Pelodiscus sinensis: one gene and its partner. The protein of the gene in region 2 purifies or fractionates together with the protein of the main gene of each other region. This does not show direct contact. Links are inferred from orthologs where the notes say so. Each region holds a gene or a part of one and is shown on either strand. Other genes may lie near its edges.

Evidence for each region. Proteins that work in one complex are often made in the same cells at the same time.
Region 1: the proteins of CEP290 (region 2) and CEP97 purify together in Homo sapiens (co-immunoprecipitation; 4 studies listed by BioGRID and IntAct, with this or other methods). This does not show direct contact. The link is inferred for Pelodiscus sinensis from reciprocal best matches to the Homo sapiens genes CEP290 and CEP97.

The regions. Positions count from the first base shown.
Region 1 is NC_134711.1:151,732,331-151,740,062, reverse strand, and holds the start of CEP97 (centrosomal protein of 97 kDa), read right to left. Parts: upstream 3,019-7,732; 5' UTR 2,937-3,018; coding exon 2,879-2,936; intron 1-2,878. Other genes in the region: RPL24 (large ribosomal subunit protein eL24), read left to right, coding at 3,267-3,271, 3,396-3,471, 4,737-4,847. UniProt on the Homo sapiens protein: Acts as a key negative regulator of ciliogenesis in collaboration with CCP110 by capping the mother centriole thereby preventing cilia formation. Required for recruitment of CCP110 to the centrosome.
Region 2 is NC_134711.1:76,742,994-76,750,121, forward strand, and holds the start of CEP290 (centrosomal protein of 290 kDa), read right to left. Parts: upstream 3,005-7,128; 5' UTR 2,851-3,004; intron 2,829-2,850; exon of another isoform or gene 2,599-2,828; intron 1-2,598. UniProt on the Homo sapiens protein: Involved in early and late steps in cilia formation. Its association with CCP110 is required for inhibition of primary cilia formation by CCP110.

The DNA.
Region 1 (7,732 bases), about 75 Mb from region 2:
TTGTTCTCCAGCTAACTTTAATGTATGAACAGCTCTACAGCATCAAACTAACTTTCCCATAAGGACCAAAAATGGGAAAATTCTAAGTGATGGAATATGCAATGTTCTAAATTCCAGCAGTGCCTCTAGTGGAAAGCCTGAGCAAATAGATGCATTTGATAGTACACGCTAAAAGTATTCAACACTTGAGTCCAAATATGTTTTGGGCAAGACAAAATTCTGAAGTTGAGACCACCATTTAACTCTTTGGACAAAGTGAACACATTCCAGCCAAAGGCAGTCATTATAACAGAGCTGAGAAACGATGCAGTTTCCAAGATAAGTGAAATTTAGATCACTAATGATTTTCAGGATCTATGGTTTCCAATTATCTCTTTCAGACATTAGCTCAGTTTAGGAGATACTGTATATACAGCAGACTTAAACCACTCTCCCATTCTTATCTACTACTAGCCAATTAGCCCGTCATAAGACGGGATTTTCAGGTCTTCTCTCCTGAGCTCTCTTGCTCTGTCTCTCTCTCTCTCTCTTCCTACTGCCTCCCCCCGCCCCCCCAGCTATCCTCCCCCTCCTGCCTCTCACTCTCCCTTTCTCTTCTCGTCCTCCTCCTGCCTCTCTCTCCCCGCCCCCCTTTCCCCTTCCCTCCCGCCGTGGCCCTTGGCTGAGTGCTGCCTGCTCAGCTGGGCTGCCACGAGGGAGGGGGGGGAGGGGCAGTGACTTATGCGACTGGGACCAGGGCCATGTGGGAGGGATAGCTCAGTGGTTTGAGCATTGGCCTACTAAACCCAGGGTTATGAGTTCAATCCTTGCAGAGGCCATTTGGGGCAAAAATTTGTCAGGGGTGGTACTTGGTCCTACTGTGAAGGCAGGGGACTGGACTCGATTACCTTTCAAGGTCCCTTCCAGTTCTAGGAGATAGGTAATCTCCATTATATTTTTTTATTTTATTTTATCACTGCCCTACCTTCCCCTCCTACCCCAGGGGAGTCCAAACAGCCCCTTGCACTGCTGGCTCCTCCGGCGGCCCGGCTGAGGGGCGCAGCACTCAGCCAAGTGCCACAGCCGAAGGGGAAGGGGGTGGTGACGTACACAGCCCCGCCCCCTGGCTGTGTACATCACCGCCTCACCCCATTCCCCTCCCTCTGTGGTGGCTCGGCTGAGCTATCTGTAAATTTGCAGGATTCTAGATACAATTTTTTCTGTCTGCATCCATCAAAATGAGCCATGGATAGTCACAGATTTGCAGGGCTCTATCAATATGGGTTTTATATGACTATATTCTTATACTATTGCTGTACCCATGGTAAAGTTAAAAAGAGACACTATTGGCAAAGAACAGTCTTCAATCACTGAACTGATTGGATAACTACAAAACTAGCAAGTATGTCTGCTATTTACTTTCCCAAAAGAATCAATGTTAAACACACATTACTTGTTGAGCTCACTGTTCTCCACAGAATTCTGAAAAGCAGCTGTGCTAAAACTACTTAGAAAAGTTATAATCAGCAATGGAGACATGGAAGCTGTCTGGAAATTCAGGGAGACAGTACAGGATATTTCTTATTTATAAGATTCTCTCTGCCTAACCTCTTCCACTCACAAAGGAAAGCTCCCTTTCATCAGTGAACAGTGTATGTTAGGAAATGTTTATTGTTCATCTATAAATATGAATGGCACTTTACAGATATAAGACAAGGTTCTTGCCTTGAAGAGCTCACAATGTAAATGAAGACAGTGCATACTGGGAGTTAGATCTTTGCAGCTACTTCATTATTACATACTCATTTTCTATCGATGACGACAGGGATCGGAGAACTACACATTGAGAAGAACTGCTATCTTCAGAGGAGCATCCACACTTGCCCGAAAGATGATAGGTGGCACTCAAGCATCTGCAAGTTGTGCATTGCACAGCCATTCACAAGAGCAAATAATTGTATCATTTATAGGACCGGATGTTAGCTGCCGTCTCACAACAGCACCTCCCTTACATCCTAAACCCAACCAATTGCAGCAGGCAGTTTAAGCTAGGGATGTTTGTGTAAATATGTAATCACTGGATTTATTACCAGATACATGTTTACACATGGGAGGGAGGTGGGGGGAAGACAGGAGCTGGTGTTCAAAGGGACCCAGCTCCTCTCAAGCACTGGTTCCTGCCAGCTGCCTCCATTGGAGGCAGCTGTGCAGGAGCAGGACGCTGGTTTAAAAAAAAAAACCCTCCCCTCACCCTTGCTACCTCTGATACAGAGGCAGCAGGGGGTGGGGAGTGTGTAAACTTTAGAATTAACTGGAGAGCCTAGGCTTATCAGTTAATCATGTAAGAGCTACACACTAACAGCCCTAATTTCAGCACCACTGGGCAAGGGCTGCCCGGGCAGCAGGAAAGTGGATGACACTAGTGATATTGTCTCGTGGTCTCACTGCTTTGTCAGACCCCCATTAGTACCCCCCCCCCACATGCTGGAGAGAGAAGACCCGCACAAATACACCGACATGCCATGAGTGGGCAAGGGACCGATTCGCCCAGCCTGCCCTTACACGCCTGCTGCTGCCGCCCCGTTAACGGGCTGGGAGCAGCAGGCTCCAGGCGTGGCCGCTAGCGGACCGTTCCCCTTCCAATTAGCAGATGCTGCCTCGGCACCTATTCACCAGGAGCGGTGTTGTGAGAGCGCAAAGCCCTCTGGGATTTGTCGTCCACTCCCCGAGCTCACGGCCAGACTGTGTTGCGGGTGGACTACAAATCCCACGATGCACCGCGCGAGCAGCCTAACAAACGTTGGGCCCGAAGATAAATCACTAGGCCCCGCCGTCCTGCCACCGAGAGTCCCCCAGCAAGCCCATAGCCCACCCGGTCCGGTCCCCGCCGCCCCGTTACCTTCGCTGGCTCCCAGAGCCAACGTGGGCGCCTCGCTCCGCGCCGCCGCCGCCGCCATACTTCCCGCTTGCTAACGACGCCAGGCAACGAGGCGCCGCGCGCTGATTGGCTGCTTTAATGCGCGGAGAAAAAATAATTTCTGGGCGTTTTAGCTGCGCAACCCCCTGACGAGGGGCCCCGCGGCGTCGCCAGCGGCCATTTTAAAGCGAATTTGAGAGAGGGGGGGAAGAAATCCCTCAGGGGGGAAACGGGGGCGCTTCCTCCCGTGATGCTCTGCGCGGTGCGCGTTTCCCATGGTGCCCCGCGCCGCGTCTAGAAGGCGGTTTCCCATGATCCTCTCTTCCTCTTGGCTGCCGGGCTCGCTAGAGTTGGAGCTGCCGCCGCCATCATGAAGTAAGTGTCGCCGGCCCGACCGGCTCCACCATCCGGCTCCATCCTCCGAGCCGAGCGCCCCTCGGGGCCCGGCCGCCCCGCCCCTCTAACCCGCTCTGCTTCCTCTTGCCCCCCCTCCCCGCAGGGTCGAGCTATGCAGCTTCAGCGGCTACAAGATCTACCCGGGCCACGGCCGCCGCTACGCCCGCACGGACGGCAAGGTGAGGCCCGGCGCGGAGCCTACGGGTCGGGGCCAAATGGCGGCAGTTTCTGAGTGGCGCCCTCCTGGCTGTTGAATGGAAGCCACGGGCTCGCCCTGGAGGCCCTGGCGAGGGGGGGGTGGGTCTGTCGTGTATAAAGCTTGCGCGCTGCGGGAGCAGGTAGCATCTGTACTTAGGTGTCCCGGGCAAAGAATAGTCTTCGTGGACTCGTGGTTTGGGAAGCGGTGGTTTTAAGAATGGGGTCTGAAACCAAGGAAGTTTTCAATCCCGGTTAGGTTGATTCACCGGTTTGTGCTGACAAGGAATAGTATGCTGAGTGGGAAGGCGTTTGCGGGGTCCAGATTGTTAACATGAAACTTTAGATATGCTCATTGTTTGCAGATAGCCGCTCTCCTGTTCCCTCTGTGATGTTAAAATTTAACCCCTCCCTCCACTTCCTCCTGGAGTAGTGCTAAATGAGTTTCACTGCAAATACTAGCCTAAAAGATACAACTGATGGTTTTCATCTTCCGAGGTGGAGATGGCTTTTTTAGGACATAGCATCAGTTGTGTAGTACAACCTAAGTGGTTTGTCTACTCTTTGAGAGTGTAGCTTTACATCTGGGTGAGGAACCTCAGGCACAGAGGCTCCATGCGACCCCTGGCTTGCCTGGATCTGGCCCCTCAGGCTTGCGCGGGGTGGGTCTCCCCATGGTGCTGAAACAAAAATGGTTCTCCACATCTCCTTTACATAATGAATGTTATGAGGGGAAAGATTTTGGTGACATTTTTATGTTAAGCATTCCTTGTTGCTATGTCAGGGATGGATTTTAAAGCATGAATCATGAAGTTTATGAAAGAACTACTTGCTTCCCAGTTCTTCTGTACAGGAAAATCATTGTACATAGCTGAGGAGTCGGACATATATTTAACCTGACACACCCCATAACCAACATGGTCTTGAAATTTGTATTTAATGTTTATGCTTTCATTGGCCATTCAGAAGATTAGATGGAAAGCAGGGATGCAAGTTGAAGTTTTAGCTGAGGCCATATTTAAAAATAAAAAAGCTACAGATGTCACTTAAATGCATTAGTGAGATCAAAAGATTATCAGACCCATATGCACGGGGTGCGAAAGCACCTTTCCACAGTCTCCACCCTTGAGGTCCACATTTACAAAAAAAGAGCGCACACACCCTACACACACAGAAATTCTTACATACAGGCCTGGATACCTTACAGAAAACATAACAGTGTTGCCTTAAAATAAATTTGCTTCCCTAGGTTTTCCAGTTCTTGAATGCAAAATGCGAATCTGCATTTCTTTCCAAGAGAAACCCCCGTCAGATCAACTGGACTGTTCTGTATAGGCGCAAACACAAAAAAGGACAGTCTGTAAGTATACTTCACATGTTGTGATAAATACTGCTTTAAATTTTCAAATGAAGAATGGTTTCCTGGGTGTATCAGAACAATTCTAGCTGTCTCTGACTAGCAGGGAAATGAAAGGTTTCTCTGGATAGCCTAAGAAGCCTAAACCATCGAGTTCTGTAGGACAGTCGTTCTCAATCTTTTTTTGTATTGCGGATTGGCAAACTCCTTCACAAACTTTTGGTGGACTGGTAATATTTTATTTACATACTCATTATGCAAATAATGAATGCACAGATATGCAAATAAAATGTTAGAGGGGCTACGGTGAATGGCCTCCGCTTCGGTAGCGGCTGCTGGAGCTGAAGCCGGCTGCTGTGCAGCAGCTCATGAGGCCAGGCCAGGGCGTACTCTAGCCCTGACTCTCAGCCACTGCAGCCTGCAATTTATGGGCCTGACACTGGTCCGTGGCCCAGCAGTTGAGAACCACTGCTGTAGAATGTAAACCTTTATGTTTGTAAAGAGGCTTTTTTTCCAAGCCCTCTTCGTGATTGTGAAGACTTTCTCACATGTGAATATCATGGCTTTGCCAATCAAGAGCTTGTTGAAAGACAATCTGGTTAATCTCTCCCCACAGCTGCAGGTTTGTGAAGATGGTATTTTGTTGGTTTACATTTGAAAGGTGGTCATTTGTTAAACACAAATTACAATTGTGTATTTCAATATGAAACCTCAAACAAGGCCATACTGCGCTTGAGACTGAATACACAGATTCAGAGTTCCTGTTTAAAAAATTGATCTGTAAATGAAAAAAGTGTTTCTTAATCCACAAGTAGTAACTGGGATTATTTTTTCTAAACAGAGATTTTCTAAATGCACTGTTTGTGTTGGTTTGATAAAACAGTCTTAGAATGTAACTTTGCAAACAGCTGGTATAAAAAAAATGCTCCCATCTGTCTGAAAATTTTGGCTGTGAAGTTGAAATCTTTGGAGATAGAAATGTGTTTTCATCAGGGGCACATATGGAATTTCTTCTGTATACGTATCCAGAGGCATTAAAGTACATGTTCTTTTAAAAGTCTTTGTCATATAATGGTAAGGTTTCTCTGTATAGCCTAAGAAGCCTAAACCATTGAGTTCTGTAGAACTTCCCGCTGGGGCTCTTGTACATTTTAAAGGAGGCATGCGGAACTCTGCTTGCAGCTAAGGGCCAGCGGGAAATTGCGTTGACTCCAGGCTGCATGCGGGTGTGCCAGCTTTGAAGTGCACAAGAGTCACCAGTGGGGACTCTTGTGCATTTCTAAGCAGAAGTGAAGCAAGGAGCCCGTTGTCAGCGGGGACTCCCCAGCTGACTGGGTTCCGTGTGGCATTTCCCCAGAACCTGGGGGAAAGCAGCAGCGCTGCCACCTTGAAACGCTGCCTCTGTTTCAAAGTGGCAGCGCCACACAGCTGAGCCTGGGAACAGCTGTGTGGTGCTGCTGCTTTGGAATACCCCCTCTTCATGCATACTCTTTGCTGCCTCTGTGTGATAGAGGCGCAGGGAGGTGGGATGGGAGGGGAGAAATCGACTACAGGCATTCCCCGGGTTACGTACAGGATAGGTACTGTAGGTTTGTTCTTAAGTTGAATTTGTATGCAAGTTGGAACTGGTACATATTGTAGGGGAAACTCTAGCCAAACATTTTTCCAGAGCTCAGTTTTATTCTCCCACACCTCACTTCCCTCAGTCCTTTATTCTCAAGCTTAGGTGTCTGCTGAGAAAAGCTGCTCCGCGTCTCCCTGGTCTGCTGGGGGGAAGCAGCTAGTGCGGGGTTGCCTCACCCCATTTGTAAGTAGGGATCCGATGTAAGTCGGATCCATGTAACCCGGGGACTGCCTGTAGTCAACTCACTATCTGAGAAGCTTCAGGGGGTAGCCAAGTTAGTCTGTACAGGAAAAACTTAAAAAACAACAAAAGGTCTGGTAGCACTTTATAGACTAACAAAACAAGTAGATGATATTGTGAGCTTTTGTGGGCACAGCCCACTTCTTCAGATGACCGAGACGCATTTGCTAGTCGACTAGTCCTTGACATCCTTACTTGATAGACCCTTTGAAACCTGCTTGCAGGATTGCTAATTAAACGTGTTACAAAAATTGAGATGTAACAAGACACACTTTGATTTCAGTTTTTTTTAAACTGATTGTCAGGTAGGGAAAAGAAAACAGTTTTATGATTTTGTACAGCTACTCTTTACTATGATAACCAAGAATCTGCCACTTCCAAAACGCTGGTAGTGTTGAAAACCCTTGTAGAATCCAAGCAGCCTCTGATTCTTCTCTTTTGTGGTTCTAGAAAGCTGTTCTTAAATGTAGTGCTTTTGGAAAGGGGTCTGGAGAGAAGTGATGCTGATACACTGGTTATGGTGGGAAAGTGGGTGGGTGGGTGTGGGGTTGGTTTTGTTTTTGGTCAGAGAGGTTTTGTAGTGTTCCTAATGTTGAGAGAACTCTTGATTCGTCTAATGTTCCTGGAAGGTAATTCCATGGCCATTGGAACAAATAATAGCTTGATACTGGCATTCTGTTCCTAGTCAGTCCTAAGGAATTTCTGATTGATTAAAAAGTTTTTGCAGTTTTTAGCTCTTTTCCATACATTTATAATGGCTTGTGAAATCAGCCACTATTAAGCTGTTGGATTCATATGTCTGCACAAAAAGTGGATATGGGAGTTGCCATTAATCAGCATTTTCCAAGATAGAGTAATTTTTTAAGATCCAACAGCAATTCTGTATACTACTGTTTGATAACTGCAGATAAATTTTGACTTCACAGTAACCACTTTCCTAATTATCCTTTGTGGGTTTTTTGCAGGGGGTAGTGTAGTAGTTTTTGGTTTTGGTAGCACTAATTCATTTTAAAGCTCTCCTATT
Region 2 (7,128 bases):
GCAACAATGTTGAGTAATTTTAAAAAAAAGTGTATTCACTCCATTGATGCTAGCTGGCATACGGAATTGGGACAGATATTTTGTAAATGACAAGCTCTCTTTCAGATATCCAGCATCTTCACTGGGGCTCAGTCTATTTGAAAATCCTCTTTTTTTTTTTTTTTTTTTTTTTAATGTCTTAGAAGTGGGTAATTTACTCATCGTGTAGTCAATAGGATTTTTATCACTACACAATTAATAAGGTAAGAAGCACTCAGTCCCGGCTCGCACCAAGTCCAGGACCTACGCTTGCTTCATGCTGCTGCCTCCCAGGTAAGTGGCACCGCGGAGACGATGCTGAGGGGGAACTAGCTTTTAAGCAAGCTCCCAACAGCAATGGCTCCTGTTTCCCCTCCCATTTTGCATACTCTGATACAGAGGCAGCGAGAGGGGTGGGGAAATGCGAATAGTCAACGTGACTAACTGATAAGCCTAGGTTTTATTGGTTAGTCAACCACTTTCTTACATCCCTACTTCTAAGCCCTCATCCTCCCTATACCTAAGGCTATGGGAATCTCACACATTTCTGGGAACTGGCACAACTTGTTCTGAATTACCTCAGCCCAGTTTTGCCCCTTTTTATGTTCCATATAATCATTTACCAAGGATGACATTACACATACAGTATCCATATATTTTTTATCTCTTACTTTTCCTGAATGACAGGGGGAGGCAGCTGCAGTATGCCATGCAGAAAAAAATTCAAGGATCTTTTCAAATACTAGTTCTGTCCAGTTCATTAGGAGAAAAGAGCTCAAGAGAAAAAATATTCTAAGCAGAAGATGATGTGTCAGAGTAGCAGACCACAAAGAACAAAAGGCTGAGACTGCAAATTATGCAGACAGGCTATTGGCATCATAAAAACACAGGCCATGAAATGTGAACAACTAGTTCTGAAATAGAACTACTGATCTTTGTCCGTAGACAAATGTTTGAGGGCTTTACCGTCCCTACCGATCTTTGTCCGTAGACAAATGTTTGAGGGCTTTACCGTCCCTTACACGGGACTGGCACATCCAAGAATGTAAACAGAGAATCATTTGTTAACAGTCCCACTCTAGAATTCAACCAGTCCTTTACTATTCCTCCACACCTTTTGTATCCTTCCTGGTTTCTAATTAGTTAATGACTTGGGAAAGTTACGCAAACCTATAGGCTATTATATTTTAGGATACCAACTTTGATTGTTTAAACAAGGTCTGAATGAGTTTGGAAAGAAGACTATAATAACGCACCTTGCTTGCACAGACATATTCATTTAGCCCAGATGCCCAACATGATGGAGCTGTTTTGCCTAAATGATCTCTTTTGGAGGAGGTGTTGGATTGCAAGTTACTTTATGACATGCAGAGCTAATATAATGTTGTTACTGTTGGGGTGGAGAAGCAGAACTGTGCTTGGCATATCCCAGTTGAGGGCTCTATCCTCAACTGAACAATATTCACAAAGCAGAGAGAAGGGATGCCAAAACCCAGTGGAAATGAGGGGGTGGGGACAAGAGTTTGTACTTGGTGGTGGGGGCTCTGCCTAAGGGTCTTAAGTACCATTTGACTTTCTCTCTTGCCACTGCAAATGATCTCATTATAGCCAAAGATGAAGCTCAGGAGTCCATACTGATATTAGCTCTACGTGCAGCTTTGGATACTAGTGATCATGAGGAGTTATTGACCAATTTGTTTGCGGACCCACATGATAGTAGATGAGGCTGATTTTAGATGGCTGATGGTTATCAAATGGCTCCTCGTCTCTAAAAGTCATATCATGAAGGTCTCTACTTAGTTACCCCTCTTCTTCATTGTAAAGTATGTATAGAATCAGTGAGATATGTGAGGAAATATTGTAAGACCATCATTGTGGTGATCATACGGAACTCTGACATCTTTTCATCTCACCCAGCCAGAGTGGTAAACTGCATTACCTTGTATCTGTATGAAATCAGAACATGATTGAGCTGTAGTTCAATCCAAAATTACTTGGATGATATTAAATACAAGATGTTATAGGCAAAACATTATGTGAAGAGAGGATGGATAAGTGAATTCAATCTGAGACTTATGAACCTCCGGGTGCCAACTCATAGAGGACTCGGGATACAGAGACTTTTACACTGATCTCCTGGATCAGAGATATGCATAATATTTTACCAAAAGGTGGTATGTGAGCTTTCTACAAAGAGCCAGTATCACATTAGTGCATTTATTAATATCAGCAGAACTGACTTAAATGGGGCCTGGGTGTTGCCTTAGACTTTGTATTCATACCCGTCAGTGTGAAAGAAGCTATATGCACATATATTTGCATGCATATGCAACCACACTTAAGTTGCGGCCCTCAGCATGTGCTGTGAGTATCATTGTGGCCCTCGGGGCTTCCAAAGTCGAGTAGCCCTGAGCTACCTGCTGCCCAGAGATACAGGGAGCTGGGACAGGCTTGCTCAGGCTGAGGGCAGATGGTAGGACCCTGGCAGCATGACCCCATCACAACTAGAGCCCCCACCCTCCCAACAGCCCTTCTATTGGCCAGGGACGTATTTAAAAGCTTGGCGCGCGCCCCACTTGCCTCTCGCGCCTACACCGGCCCTGGGAACACGCCAGCCTGGAGTGGCACAAGCCCCGCGCCGGCCGAGATCCTCCCACGGTGCGTGGCCGCAGCCAGGCTCCTCAGCCACGCAGGGCCCGCCAAGGGGAGGCGCGGCTCCCTGGCGAATCAGCGGACAACGGGACCTGGGCGGGAGGCGCCGCTATCTCCCCAGCGGGGTTCCTGCCCTACAGCTCATCCCCCTCCCCCAGCGCCGCGCCCTCCTGCCCTCACCCGTCTCCGTTTAAGCTACTGGAGGCCACGGCCGCTGCTAGGCGACGCCATCAAACACCGCTCAGCCGGCGCCGCGGGGGACCCGGATACACGCAGATGAATCAAAACTGGCGGGGGCCTACAAGCCCCAGCGTGCACAGCGCACCCGGCAGAGACTGCCACTCCCGGCACGCACCGCGCCACGAAGAGCGAGGACGTTTTTCAATGGCGCAAAAGAGGCCGCGGTGGAAGAAGGGGGAATCTGCCACGCCTAAGTCTTGCGAAGACTACATTTCCCGGCATGCCGCGCGTCCGCGCGGGGAACTACAGGTCCCAGTACACTAGGCAACCTTATACCAGCCGGCACGCTGGGACCTGTAGTGTGGAGGGGCAGCTCCCGGCAGCCTTCGGGAAAGTAGTGGTTTTCGCGCTTGCGTAGTACACAAGGGAGCGTCCCTTGTAGTCTCCGTGTAGCGCGGTGGCTGTGGAGCGAGTGATGTTCATTGGCGGCAGGGAGAGCGTGTTACCCGCACAGCGCCAGGTAGGGGAGCGCTGCGAGGGCGGGTAGCGGCAGAGGGGGCCCGGCCGGAGGAGAGGGGGGTGTTGCTGGAGCTCACCCGCCCGGTAGCGGCTGCCCCTCCCGTCTCTCGGCATGGGCAGCCGGGCGGGGCTGCCGTCTCCAGAGCTGCCCCTGCTCTCGAGTCTTGCCTCAGCCTGGGCTGCGAGGCCCTTGGGTGCGGGCCCTTCGTTCCGGGCCCGCCTCAGCTGTTCGCCCCTCGCCGCCTTCGGGGACGGGGCTGTTCCCCACTTGCAGAGCAGGGGGTTGCCCTCGGCTCCGGCCCCCTACGCAGCTCGGCGCCCCGGGAGTGGCAGCACTGAAGTGCTACTGGTCACTTTTAGCTGGCATGTGGCGACAGGGGGCTTCTTGGGGCAGGGACCAGCTGCTTGTGTTGTACAGAGCCTTGTCCGGCAGGTCTCCCCGTTCTCCATACAAAGAAGCTATGGGGATGTCTACACTACAGAGTTTTTCGGGAAAATGGCCATTTTTCCGAAAAAAACTCCAATTACATCCACATTGCAATTGCGTTCTTGTGAAAGAAAATCAAAAGAACAGCGGGGGTTTTCCAACATTGGTAATTGTCATTCCACGAGGAAGAAGACTTTTTCCTAAAGAGCTCTTTCGGGAAGTGACACGTGTGTGTGTGTGGACGGGGAAGAGGGAATTCTTTTGGAAGAAGGAAGAGGAAAAAGCACAGGAGCCTTGGTGGCCACTCCATCCATAGTAATCACAGCTGAAATGAAAGATATAATGCACATGGCTTTTTCGATAGGCTTTTGCAGTGTGGATGCTGTCTTGCAGAAGTTTTTCTGGAAGCTCTCTTGTGGAAAAGCTTCTTCCAAAAGAAGCCTGCAGCCTAAACACAGCCTATAGGGAAATATGAGGACTATTCAGCAACAAACCCAGGAGCACACAGCGCTCAAAGCTGAGCTGGGTTTCTCTCGTTACAATTCCTGCTATGTATTCTTTCTTGGACATAGATGTTGTTGCATACGTGTTTTTGGCAATTATGGGCAACACCTGCCTTACAACAGCCCAAGTTCCAACCCCCCTCACTTACAACCATTTTTTAATACGGAAGGGGCTAATAACCCCCGACTTATGTCCTCGGCCCGCATTTATGATGGTGCCTATTGTAAACATGGGTTCGAGTTATGATGCCCCTGACTTGCAATGCTTCCCCCAGAAACCGATCGTGTCACAAGTCGGGGGCTGCCTGTAGTCTTTCCTAATGTGCATATCTGTCTCTAATTCTAACTGCTCTCCTCCAAGAGGTGCTCACATTCTAATGGCTTGTCTTCACCCCATGGAAGATTGCCACTGCTGCAATTGATCATCTGGACTTCAATTTAGAAAGTCTAGTTAAAACTAGATTCCCATAGGCTTTCCTGAACTAGACTTGCTAAATCCAACTCAGAGGATGCCCCCGGTGGCATCTGGTACTCCTCTTGTGAGGAGTAAGGGAAGCCATGGGGATACTGCCAAACTTGACTTAAGTTGCTGTACCCTAAGCTGAGCTCCCAGGTATAGCGTATACCTGGCTTAATATAGCTTCTTCAGAGCTCGCTTTTGCTCTCTTTTCTGGGCATGGCGCTGCAGTAACCAATCCAAAGTTAAATAAAAGCCGTACTTAGGCCATGTCCGTGCTAAGAGCAGCTGTGCCATTATAGTTCTGCAGAGTAGATGTTTTTTATATCAAGGGAAAGATCAGTCTATCAGTGGAGTTAAACTATCTCTCAGGGAGGTGGGATGGACATCTGGTTAAGACGTCTACATTTTTTGAGTCAATATAACTACATTGCAAAGGGTCCGACATTTTTCATAAACCTGGGGGGATAAAGCTATGTACAGTAGATCTAATTTTTAAGTCTTATTAAAGACTAGCTGCCAAGCCTTACTCAGCAGCAAGGAGCAGGCGGGAATATATAGAAAACCAGAGGAGACTGTACTAAACTTCACACTGATTTAATGCCCAGTCACTTATATTGGTTGTGACGACAATGTACGTAAACGCAAAATACTGTATTGTTGGAAAGAAAAATTGAGCTGTTCATATACCATACAAAATTCTGAGTTAACTATCAACTTAGGAGATGGAAAACTTATTGAAGGTGTAGCGTGCAGCTGTGGTCGAAGGCAAAGATGATGTATAAAGAACAGAATGGAGAATCCTACAGCAAATATCCGATTATAAAAATATACATGTGGTATCATTTAGTAAACTATGTGCAGTACCAGAACCAGTCGGCCTGTTTTAAAATTAATATTATAGATTTAGGGAGGATTTTGAGACAGGCAAAGAAACTGGCAGAAGGATGGAAAAACTCATGAGAGATTGGGAAGGCTCTAATTAACTTCCTCAGAAAGGAGATGAACAAGAAGAGATAGGATTCAAGTATACAAAATAAATGGTAAAGAGAAGTAAAATGAGAGGGTCTGTTCTATATGTATCCTAATACAAGGAATTGTGGGATAGTAAAATTAAGTGCTAAAGTTAAAACTAATAAGCATAATTAAACTGGTGGAACTGTGACTGTGTAGATACTAAGGATGTGAACATGTGCATGGTTATCCCACACTGGTAAACTCTCCTCCACTGCACTGCTGCGTCTGTACCGGCATGGTATGAACCGTGTGGGTTTTAGGCTTCACAGCACCAGTCTCTCCCTAAGGCACCACCAGCTCTGGAGGCTCAATGCAGTGTCCAGCTCCCATTGTCCAGGTCTCTGGCTGGATTACTTCTGGAACTCCTGCAGCAGATCCTTCTTCTCTGGCATCCAGCCCAGGCAGCTGAGCATCTCCCTTTTATACTGCCCCAGCACTTGGAGCATGCCCGGTTTGGCTGGAGGGGTGGGACAACTTCTACCCAGAGCAATTGCGCTGCAGGCTCTGCTGTATAATCTTTATACTGAAGAGCCCACAGCATGTAACCTAACTAACTGCTTTTTAACATCCCAAAGCTTTACACATGTTATACACAATTTAACAGGATAATGATTTTCAGTAGGTTATGAATTTTCAAATAATACATAAGAAATATATTAGTCTTGTAAAAGTGGAGTATATGTGGTACCGGGTGTCACAAGGGGTTCAGAATGTCAGTGTGGTGTAATATTTTCACATTGCAAATACTTAGACTCTTTGCTAGCTCTCCTGCAATGGCTGTTTCACCAATGTCAAGGATAATCTATGAGTCAAACTCACAATGCAGTGTTGGCTGAGAATAGTTGATATCCCAGCCACAAAAGAGCAAATCCATTCTGATGATAGAGATGTCAGAATCCCCTGTCAGCTTAACTCAGTGGTTGGCAATTGTGGCCCAACAGAGTTCTCTGATGGCGGGCCTTGAGATAGTTTGGTTTGTTTGTTAAGCAGTCTCAGGCACTTCTCTTCTTCCCCCATCCCCGCCCAGCTCCCAATGGACATGGTTCACTGTTCCTGGTCAATGGCAGCTGCAGGGGGCTGTGCCTGCAGATGTTCACCATGAACAAACTGTGTTGTGGTCTGCTATGGAGGCGGAGGGAGGTCAGCTCCATGTGCACAGCAAGGTGTGGGGTCTCAGCTAAAAGGGGCAGGGCCAGGAGCAGGCAGCCCTCCATGTTGCATGCAGCGTAGTTCTCAGGCAGTGATTTAAAGGGCTGGGGCTTCTGGCCACTGCTGCAGCAGCTGGGAGCCCTGGGCCCCTTTAAATCATGGAACCTTGGGACAGCTACCCCCTTCTGCTCCCCTTCTCCCTCAGG